2 linked regions of the Saccharomyces cerevisiae S288C genome follow. Changing the gene in region 1 together with any one later gene gives a genetic interaction. Each region holds a gene or a part of one and is shown on either strand. Other genes may lie near its edges.

Evidence for each region. Genes that interact genetically often act in the same process or in processes that back each other up.
Region 2: mutations in UGA3 (region 1) and HMS1 together harm fitness more than expected from each alone (negative genetic interaction), as found in Saccharomyces cerevisiae (one large-scale study listed by BioGRID).

The regions. Positions count from the first base shown.
Region 1 is NC_001136.10:154,487-159,323, forward strand, and holds UGA3 (Uga3p), read left to right. Parts: upstream 1-1,831; coding exon 1,832-3,418; downstream 3,419-4,837. Other genes in the region: GLT1 (glutamate synthase (NADH)), read right to left, coding at 1-1,154; UGX2 (Ugx2p), read right to left, coding at 3,578-4,249. UniProt on the Saccharomyces cerevisiae protein: GABA-dependent positive regulation of genes required for catabolism of GABA (UGA4, UGA1, and UGA2).
Region 2 is NC_001147.6:386,544-392,917, forward strand, and holds HMS1 (Hms1p), read right to left. Parts: upstream 4,533-6,374; coding exon 3,228-4,532; downstream 1-3,227. Other genes in the region: DFG16 (Dfg16p), read left to right, coding at 282-2,141; YOR032W-A (uncharacterized protein), read left to right, coding at 5,633-5,833; Rad2 family nuclease EXO1, read right to left, coding at 5,873-6,374. UniProt on the Saccharomyces cerevisiae protein: Involved in exit from mitosis and pseudohyphal differentiation.

The sequences.
Region 1 (4,837 bases):
GGTTCCATCAGACATGCAGCCCAGTCGTACCATGCTTTTAGGTCAGAATCCATATCCTTATGATACGCTTCAGGAACCATCATCATAACAGCTTCAGGTAGAGATAATGTGCCATTAATAGTCAATAGTTCTAAAACGTTATCCAATGCAGCTGAATCAGAACCACCTTCTTCGATAATTGGGTATAGTTTGTCTAACTCATCTTTGAAAGTTGCTGAATTCATCACACCTTCTCTGGAGCGCATCCAATTCTTGTTACCTCTTAAGGTGTTAATTTCACCATTATGAGCTAGCCAACGTAAAGGTTGAGCTCTATCCCAAGAGGGGAAAGTATTAGTGGAAAATCTTGAATGGACCAACGCCATGTGGGATTTGAAATGCGCATTAGTCAAGTCGGGATAGTAGTTATACACTTGAGCTGGCGTCAATTGACCCTTGTAAACAATGGTGGTATTGTTTAGGGAACAAACATAGAACCAGTTTTCCAGTCCTATTTGAAGAGAGGCCTCCTTCCTTAAAAGATACAATTGAGTTCTAAATTTAGTTTCATTAAACTCCGGTTGTTTTTCATCATACAATGGAACCAATAATGGCTGTAGAATAGTAGGTTCACGAGATAATGCAACGTCTCCTAAAATAGTAGAATCTACGGGGACGTTTCTCCAACCTAATACGGATAAGTTGAAGGATGCAGCTAAATCCTCGAAAATCTTCTGACACTTAATTAAATTTTTCTTGTTATTTTTTTCGTTCTTCTTGAAGAAGACGTTACCTACGGCGTATTTGCCCATCTCAGGTATGTCTAGATCAAGATCTAACTTGAATTCTCTTTTCATAAATTCGTGAGGAATACCTAGCAGAATACCGGCACCGTCACCGTTCCCATCAGATGAGACGGCACCACGATGTGTCATATTCACTAAAAGATATCTAGCGTCAGTAACAATCTTGTGAGACTGTTCACCATGCTTATTTGCTACGAAACCGACACCACAAGCGTCATGTTCATAATCAGGGTCGTAAAGTCCTCGTTTGTCCGGAATCACATTTGCCCAAGATTTATGAAGATGGTGTTCATCGTTATAGTTTTGAATTGTCCCACCTTCGTAAGCTTCTTCCAATGGATCGAAATTGTCTGATTTCAACACTGGCATGCTTTCTTTTCTAATTCTTTTTCTAGTTCTTCAAAATAAATAAATGGCAAATAGATTAAGAAAAAAGAGAGAGTAGAAAGACAAAAATAAATAAAAAAAAACTGAAGCAGAAAAATAAATAAATAAGTTAAACGTTAATCACTACCTCAATGAGCTAAAAGAAGGGGAAGAAAGAGCAACTGAGAGTATCCGTCTGCGTAGTATAGGACTGAGATAGCAATTTCCTATCTTCCTATGATGTGGAGACGATTAGTTTGGTGTGTTATCAAGTAAGATATAAGAATTGATTAATTTGGTAAGAAATGAAACAATAGGACGAAAAATACAATAAGATAAGGAAGACCATCAGAACTTATGAATGACTAAGAAAAGCAGTTTATATTTTTTTTTTGGGCAATTTATTGCTTCTTTTTTTTACGTTTTGCGGGCATCACGTTCGTCGTGACATATGACTTGAAAAATGTGCAAAAGCTTATCGGAGCCAATCGGATTGACGCATTAAAACCGAAGTGTATTAGGACCAAATTTGCGCTGTATAGGGTTGAACGGTAGGGCTACCAGGGTCTGAGTCATCAAAGAAAAAGAAATTACAATAAGAGTCTTACTTAAGATGATATAGAATTGTTGTTATTGTTCATGTATGGATGCCAAGAAAACAAAGTTTTTTAAAGTGAGGTATGAATTATGGCGTGGAGAAGCTGAAATTGAAATATTCGAAGCATGGGTGTATTACTTGCAAGATCAGAAAGAAGAGATGCTCTGAAGATAAACCTGTGTGCCGGGACTGTCGTCGATTAAGTTTTCCCTGTATCTATATATCAGAATCTGTTGATAAGCAGTCTTTGAAAAAAATAAAGGCAGATATACAGCACCAGTTGATCAGCAAGAAAAGAAAGCATGCTCCTGACAGTGCTCAGAAAGCGGCCGTGGCCACCCGTACTCGACGGGTCGGTAGCGACGAACAGGATAACCAGGTATATTTGTCAAAACCGCTGGAAGATTGCATTTCTCAGAAGCTGGACTCTATGGGATTGCAGCTGTACAACTACTACAGGTCTCACCTTGCAAACATAATTTCCATCGCGCCCATGAACCAGAACTACTATCTGAACATTTTCTTGCCAATGGCCCACGAGAATGATGGTATATTGTTTGCTATTCTTGCTTGGTCAGCTAATCATTTGTCTATATCATCATCAAATGAGCTGCGAAAGGATGAAATATTTGTCAACTTGGCGAACAAGTATACATACATGTCGTTATCGCATCTAAAGACAAACGAGGGCTCAAGTGCCTGTGCTAAACTGGGGTTTCTATATTCACTAGCACAAATCCTAATCTTATGTGGTTCAGAGATATGTCAGGGTGATGTGAAATTTTGGAAGATATTATTGAATATAGGAAAAAATTTGATCGAAAACCATGTGGGCAAGGATGTCTCACGGATACTAACCACTACTACAGAAGAACCCTCCCTAGAGGAGAGGATAATCTTCCCCAATTTCAATTCCGTTGTTAAGTACTGGCTGATTGTGAATTTTATATATCATGATATTTTGAATTTCAATACAACGTCCTTCCCGATCGAACAATACGAGAAATTCTTCCAAAGGGATCAGAACTCTTTACCCAGCTCAGCCAACTTTATTGAGTCAATAGACTCGCCAATTGAGGAAATAGACCCTTTAATTGGCATCAACAAGCCTATTTTACTACTATTGGGACAAGTCACAAATTTGACGAGGTTTTTGCAGACTATGGAACAGGAAGAAATGCTAGAGCATGGCGATAAAATTTTGAGTTTGCAAGTCGAGATTTATAAATTACAACCTTCGCTTATGGCGCTGGAACATTTGGATGATGAAAAGAAATTTTACTATTTAGAACTATTCGAGATAATGAAAATTTCTACCTTAATGTTCTTTCAATTAACTTTATTAAAGATTGACAAAGATTCGCTGGAACTACAGATACTGAGAAACAAATTGGACTCGAAGCTAGACAAGGTCATCGGAACTTTTTTGGAAGGATCGTTATGCTTCCCACTTTTCATTTACGGTGTATGCATTCAGGTAGAAGATATGGAGAAAAAAATAGATTTGGAAGCCAAATTTGACGACATTTTAAAACGATATAAATGTTACAATTTCCAAAATGCTAGATTATTGATACGGAAAATTTGGCAAAACGAGGCTGATGGCATCAGTGAGCATGACCTGGTCCACATGATTGACGAATTAGATTACAATATTAATTTTGCCTGAGCAGCATATATTTTCTTTCCCCGCCCCCTGGGTGTCTTAAATTATTGTTTCACCACACAAACATATATATGTTCTTTTTTTTTTTTGTAGGACGTACGGATTCAAAAACAATTTATACCTATACAATGTAGAAATGCTAACGTTGAGACATAGAAGTAATTATTTAATTAACCATTTTAGGTGATTATTTTCAGGGGTGTCCGAGTCCACCTCTACAACATCCACCTGCCCGGTTTGATACCTGTAATCGCCTGTCTTGGAGTCCTCCACAAAGCTTATGCTTCTCTCAGATTTCCTGCGTGGCCTATCCATTATGGCTGCTCCTGCATACGACGTGCCAGTGCCGCCAATCATATCTATATCATGATTGCTTTCCCCGTCGCTTGTACTATCTTCATTCGAGTGGACGTCATGAGCCCATACAGATTTATACCGATTTGCTCTCGGAAATTCATGGCCATCTAGCACTTGTATTCTTTGGTAGTGATCACTATCATTATCCTCGTCACTCTCGTCCCTTTCACAAACGGGGCTTTCCCTTCTCTGCTTTGCAGTCCTTGTTAATTTAGTCTTAGACTTCATTTTAGCTCTTTTATTAGATTTTGTCTTTAATTTGCCCTTGATCTTCAAAATTAACTCATCAAAGTTGTCCTCGTGTGCATCATATACCACCTTATATGATTGTTGGTATTGTGTGGCGAATAAGTCCTGGTTCCAGGCAAAACCTTGACTTTGAGATACAGATATTTTAAAATTTGGCCTTATTTCTGCACTATATGTAAATACCGAACTGGTATTTGAGTATACAATAAGTTTCTCCTTATCCTCCATGACTCTTCAGTAGCGGTTATGAACACGATATAACTATCTGCATTTAACGCTGGTACTGATTTCAATTTATCCTTATCAAATGATACGCTCTTTCCCTTTAAAAAGCGCCCTTACCTCGTTCCGAACGGCGCTAGTAAGAATTTCATCAAATTGCCCTTCTTGTGGGGGGATGCTCATCACAGACTACTGAATATGCATCACAGAAAAGACAAAAAGAACCATTAACATGATTCTGCATATATTTGAATGATTAATCCATGGTATTGATTTAAGGCGGTAAGAAGGAAAATTTAAAATTTGGATATTACCATCTTCTTCTACACTCATATATATTCCTAATTTCCTTTGCATCAGGTCAATCGTGACAGTTGTTGCTTATAAATGCGATTATTTTCTGCGTAATATCCATAATTACTTCAAGAACCCCTTAGGTGACAACCGAAAGTCAGCAGTCACTTAATAGTATTTAGTGTCAGAATTTGTTGGCCTATTTTCTTACATTCACTATATAATACTTACGGGGCTAGTTTTATTTTCTACCACAAATAAAAATAAAGCATCTTTTAATTTTCTTCCCTTGAATGGCTT
Region 2 (6,374 bases), on another chromosome or scaffold:
GATATCAGATTTACTAGCCCCGTTGGATTGAAAAATCTGCAAGGAAGGGCTAAAGAGCAATATACTTTCTTTTGTTGTTTCGGGGTGATGAGAAAATTGTAACTTTTTTTTTTAACTTGGCGAGAAAATTGACTGGAAGAAGTGTCAAAGATAAGGCTTCTATCATATTCAAAACAAGTACCACCAAATGGCAGCTCAACTCCGAAGGCTCAAAAACAATACTTATTGATATTGCACTCACAAGCATTTTTTGTTGCGGAACGTCTTTACGTGCAAGATTAATGATCATAAGATTGCATTTTTACTACCTCCTCACTTTAGTTTACCATTTAGGACTTGTAGGTGCGTATGAAAAAGCAGCAAGAAAGAGAATTCAACCTCCCGATTTGATACCTGGTCCTCCGGGACATAAACTTGGTGATGAAAGACCACCGCATTACGACCACCGGCCACCTTATAAAAAACACATCGACAACATTCCAGCTTACAATCTGACTGATTTGATAGATGATAAACTACTAAATAAATATGAAAACTCATGCACGGTAAATGTATTGACAGGTGGCTTCATCTCTCTAGCAAGTAATTCGTGGCACTTACGTGCTTATAATTACACTTTAAATTACCCATCCTTTTTGATCCGATGCGATAATGGCAGTGCAAATCCTAATTTCTCTCATGTCTTACAAGACTTTGTTTATGACATCAACAACAAATTCAACGTTCAAGATGACAGTAGTAAATACATCGGAAAAGACCCATTTCCCTTAGGAATGATAATGATCACCTTTGCTTCTGGGTGTATCTGTGTGGCAACATGGATGCTATTTTTGGTTGTCTTATTACTGCCATCCGATAATCATAATAGAAGAAATAAAGTTGTACATGTTTACGTCCTTTTCTCTGCGATTATAAGAACTGTATTTCTAAACGAGACTATAGCCGTCATATTTGACAGCCAATATCACGATGACTACCAGGATGCGAGCCAATTTGAATCGTTCATCGTAGAAACTGCACCATATAAAATATGTGAATTAGTTGCAAATATTTTGAGTGATATAAACTGGATTTATATTGTTCACTACTTACAGTCCAATTATGGAAAACCAACTTGGAATTGGATCCCATTTAAAATGAAAAAGGGGACACATATCATAATTACCGTGGGTTGCTTCCTCTCACTAGCCGATAACATTTTATTCGCAAACCTTCTTTGGAGAAAGAACCTTGTAGTTTTGAAGGTATTTTACAAGCTAATCGAATTACTGATTTACACAATTTTCATCTCCATTATTTGTTACTTCACATGGCATAATTTTGCTTACATACTTTTACCGAAAACTGCTGAAATTAATACGGACGGTAAGTGTAAAACGAAATTGAGAATTCTTTGGGAAAATTATCACGAAACTATACCATTATTGGCGTATAATATTCTTATATTTATTTTATTCTATTTCACCACAATTTTTTTCGCTGCTTTCACCAAACATGTTAGAGGTTGGACATTTAACTTTGTTCATCTTTTGAAAGTTTTAATAACAGTGAACGTTTGGGGCTTAATTGGAGTATTGGAAAAGAGGGAGCTGCACATAAGCAAAAAAACAGTCCTTGGACGAAAAATTAACAATAGGGACAAATTTTTCGCCAATCCAACAGTCAATTATTACGGAGAAGATTTAGGCAAGCATTTAAGCGCCATAACGTTAAACAGGGATTTAAACACTACTAAAAGTAACACTACTTCCCACGATTCATCAAGTTTAGTAGGATCCCCTTCACCCACCTGGAAATCTCCAATCGAAAGAATAAGGGACAGAAGAAGAAGACATAAGATAATGAAAAGTGAGAATAAATTTGGGCAAAATCCCAGTTTTGGAAGTAAATCGAATGGCAAACCTAATACTAAAACGACATTATCCAAATATCGACAGCTATTAAGGAAGCCTAGGCGAAAAACCAATTCATATGAACCAAAAAATGGCATTGGACAGAATAAAGAAGGCTCAACTGTTAGACCAGGAGCCGACAAACATATTAGAGATTCCAATTATCTAGCTACAGACATCAGTGACAACGAAAGTATGGAAACCGAACTTCGAACCAACCACATTTATAATTACGAAAATAGTGATTAAGGCAGGCCCAGTGGACGAAAAGACATAACTGCAGAAGTACAGCTGCCTTTATTTCTTGTGGTCATTTATTGCTTTTATTTTCAAGTCAGATATACAAGAAAATCAAATCCCATCGTCAACGTCACGTATAAACGATTAATTTACAGTAATACCATACTCTACCAACATTATTTTAGTCCGACGTTCAGTCCTGTAGGTGTTCCAAATCCTTCTGGCATTGACTTCTGTGCAGAAACCCTTCAAAATGAGTTCCACTTTACGTCAGATCGCATAACAACCGGTCATATATTTTTTTCTTTTGCTAAACCCCCTACTGCAAGCACTTTTAAGAAAAAGAACAATAAATGCGTCTTTATTGCTGTGTGGAAGTGATTTTTGTCTTTCGGACAAAAAAAGGATAGGGATGCGAGAGGGCTGTGAAGTAGTGATCAAGCGGGGCCTATATAAGAAGGGCGCACATCGTCCCCCCTAAGAATAGCGAAGCGATATTACACTGAACACTACAATGTCAAATAGTACTCAATAAATATGACTGTAAAAATATGTGACTGTTAAGGCGAATGTTGTAAGGACTCTTGTCATTGTGGGAGCACCTGCCTTCCAAGCTGTTCTGGCGGTGAAAAGTGCAAATGTGATCACAGCACCGGAAGCCCTCAATGTAAGAGTTGTGGTGAAAAATGCAAATGCGAAACCACGTGCACTTGTGAAAAGAGTAAATGCAATTGTGAAAAATGTTAGGTGACCCCTACTCTTTACTTATCATAAATACATCATCATATTTTACCCTTAATTAACAACATTTATTTAACTGCATGAACTAAATATAAGGTATAGTTTCTTTTTCCCGGAATCTTTTTTTTAGATCGTTATTATTTAGACGGCACTAAGAGAAATAAATTAAACTAAATTACGGTGCGGAGCTCAAGGCATCTGCGAGTGTTTACTAACACTAAAAGAGATGAATAAAATAGATTTCTCAATGCAAAATTAAAATTACAATGTTACGCATACACACAAGTACAGATTTGTATATAGTATTTCTTCTTCGTTTTATCTGTCGTGTTGAAACATTTTGTTGTTCAAGTATTAAAAGTCTCCTGCGTTGTTAAAATCCATATCATGTGAATTGTTGGTGCCGCTCATGAGGCCGTTTTGATGTGGAATATTATATTGAATGTTATGCAATGGTTGTTGTTGTCGTGGCTGCCGCTGCCGTTGGCGTTGGCAGCTTCTGGTTTGCTTTTGTACTTGTTCACTACTACTGTTGTCACTCAACGGTTGAGATGGCTCGGTAAGATGGACGAAAGAATCCCGTGTGTCATTTGATAAATGTTGATTAGCCAAGCTTAGCTGTAGGCACTTTCTTTCTAAATGACAAATATATTCAATAGATTTCGTTAAAATGGACGCCTTATTCAATTTTGTTGCTGGCTCTAGGCCATCTAAGTCTGCTAGGTCTCTAGATGTAATGGGAAGATCGTTACATTTTTTATACGCTACTCGTAGCGTTGGGACAGTTCTCCTTAATTGTTCAATTTTATCATTAATATTGGAACGGTATTTCTTTTCAATTATATTGTGTGATACCCTTCCTGTCCTCACCCTTGTTATTCTTTTGGGTTTAACATGAAAATGTTTCCGTATAGGTGAAGTTTTTAACTTGAAGCTCATACTGTCAGCATTGTCAATATTCTCCAAATTCAAAGATGATTTAATCTCGTCTGCAGTAACTAAGGGAGACTCTGTCTTCGATAAAGGCAAAAAATTTTCAAAGCCAGACAATTGTTCCTTTTTCACGATTGAAGCTGCTGAAAGAAGACTCGAGTCCTTTTCAGATTTAAGATCGGTTTGCTTTACATTATCAATGTTTTCATTTTCCTCGCTACTAAAGACTTCCATGTTATCAATGTATTCTTCGCTGTCAATAGTATTGCCATTGTCTGTAGTCATTGTAGTACTACCCGTCGTTGTTGTAGGTATAGAAGCCAGAGCATCATTATAGTAATTACTATCAATTACTGGAGTGTGGCCTGAAGTATTAGGAAACGAGGAGTCACTATACTGGTCTGTGGCAGAATATGTGTTGTTCTTATATACAGGAGGCACGGGAGGTTGAAGATGGATGGGATGCTGAAATGGAGCGTAATAAGCATGCGTCGGAGGTCCTTGAGAACCCAAATCCTCGGTATTGTAATTTGGTGGCGGCACGTTGTAATTGTTACTTTGAAACATTAAATACATTTGGTTCGTGGTTACATTTACATTCTGCTCTTCGCTGCCATCTTGAGCACTTCTACAATCAAAAACCTTGATGGCGACTTTATTACCTAGGTCGTTCATTACAGAATTGCCATCCGAAGAACCAGAAAAAGGTTTTTGAAAATTTGGCATTTCCAATTTATACTCTTATCGTTGCTAAAATGAGTCGTGTACTGCAACTGCTCTATATTCTATATTCTAAGCGAATGGGTGGGTGGGTGTGACTAACTATTAAACTACCTAAGCGATCTCGAGAGCCAAGGCGAGTAGTAGAAATAAAACTAGAAGCGCGCTTTACAGGTTTGACCTTAAGTATGATGCGATAAGACACTTACATAGGACGATTTTTGAGGCTTACAATGTGTAACCAAGGTATATAAAAGGTGCTGCTGCTCTTGGGAAAAATACAAAGAAAACGCCTACGGTAAAAATACAATACCAGCTATTTTTTTCTTTTGAGAAGCCCACTCAAAGTAAAAATTAAACAATGATGGAAAAGAACGGAAAAAAGTTCAAACAGAAAATTAAAATACAGCAGAGAAGACTAGGCACAACAAAGTGGGATTGTGTCTACGCTTTTAACGGTGTACCCTTTTTCCTCGCCACGTTTTCACTCAGATCTAAATCTCTGCTGTAATTTACAGCGGCATAAGAAGGCACGTCCCCTGAAAGTAGGCTAGCCAGAAAACAAAAAGGCCAGAATCGGCGCGGAACTTCTCGTATCGAGAGCAAATGAGGGGTGCGGCACACAGTAGGAAAGGGTAACTGATTAACATACGTACACCCCGGCATAAAAGCTTCTGCAGGCTTTGTAGGCAAGAGACACTGCGGAGAATAAAAGGTTGTGACGCCCAATACCTTCGCCGGACTCCTTCTTGGCGTTCACAAAAGACGATGCTGCAGCATTTTTTTCTTGCGTCGAACTCGCGCCCACAGCAACGAGACGGTTCCGTTCCTTCCCGTAATGTTGCTTTGATTAACAAAATTCTCGTTTCCTCAGTTCTGTGAGCCCGTTTGTCAGCAGAGGAATCCCAATGAAGAAAATTTTTTCTGGAAAGTAAAAGCGAGCGAAAAGTTTAAGGTTCAGATTGCATCACTATTCGTTCAGTTGATAGCGAATGTAGACCGCTAGCGGCTTGATTAGATAAATAGAGTGGGTTAAAAAAAAGGAAAAAAAAAATGTGAATTGCACATGCCCAGCGCGCTCGCAAAACATATAAAGTTGTCCTCACATGCGGCGTGCATTGTTCATAGCGGGGCAAACATACTTGTGGCTTAATTTGACACATCTACTTTTAATCTTTTCTTGGTCTAGTACAATGGCTTTTTCCCAAAGTAGAAGGCTTCTTACTCCAACCGTACCCTGTCCTACTTTACTGGGCATTGATTTTTTAATTCTTGTCTTGAGGCATTTCGACGAGATTTTCATTTGAAAAATATACCTCCGATATGAAACGTGCAGTACTTAACTTTTATTTACCTTTATAAACAAATTGGGAAAGCAAGGAGATAGATCTGACTGCCGGCCGAGCTTGGCTTGACTTAGTAGTTTCGATGTCCCTTTTCTTACTTTCCTCATGCAAAATTGGTGATGAATTGAATGATTTTCGTTCATCTACGCTTTTCATGTCAATCACAATTCTCTGTGACCTGGCACCAATAAGGCTTTTTCGCAGTGATGGCCTTTGCGTGATTTGATTTTTACCATCGTTATCGTCGCAATCATCATCTCTATTTTGATTGACGTATACCATTCCTCTACTTTTTTGATTAACGTGCCGAGGAAATAGTGGTTGTCTATTTGCATTAACTCCGCTGAATGAAGATGAATATCTAAACTTTTGTAAAACTTTTGTGCACCCCGATATACTCCTCTGGGATGACCCGGGAAATGAGGTGGTGCTGCTCGTGGGAACTCTTGATTCCGCAGTTTCGCTATAATCCTCGCTAGTATCGCCATCACCGTCATCATCT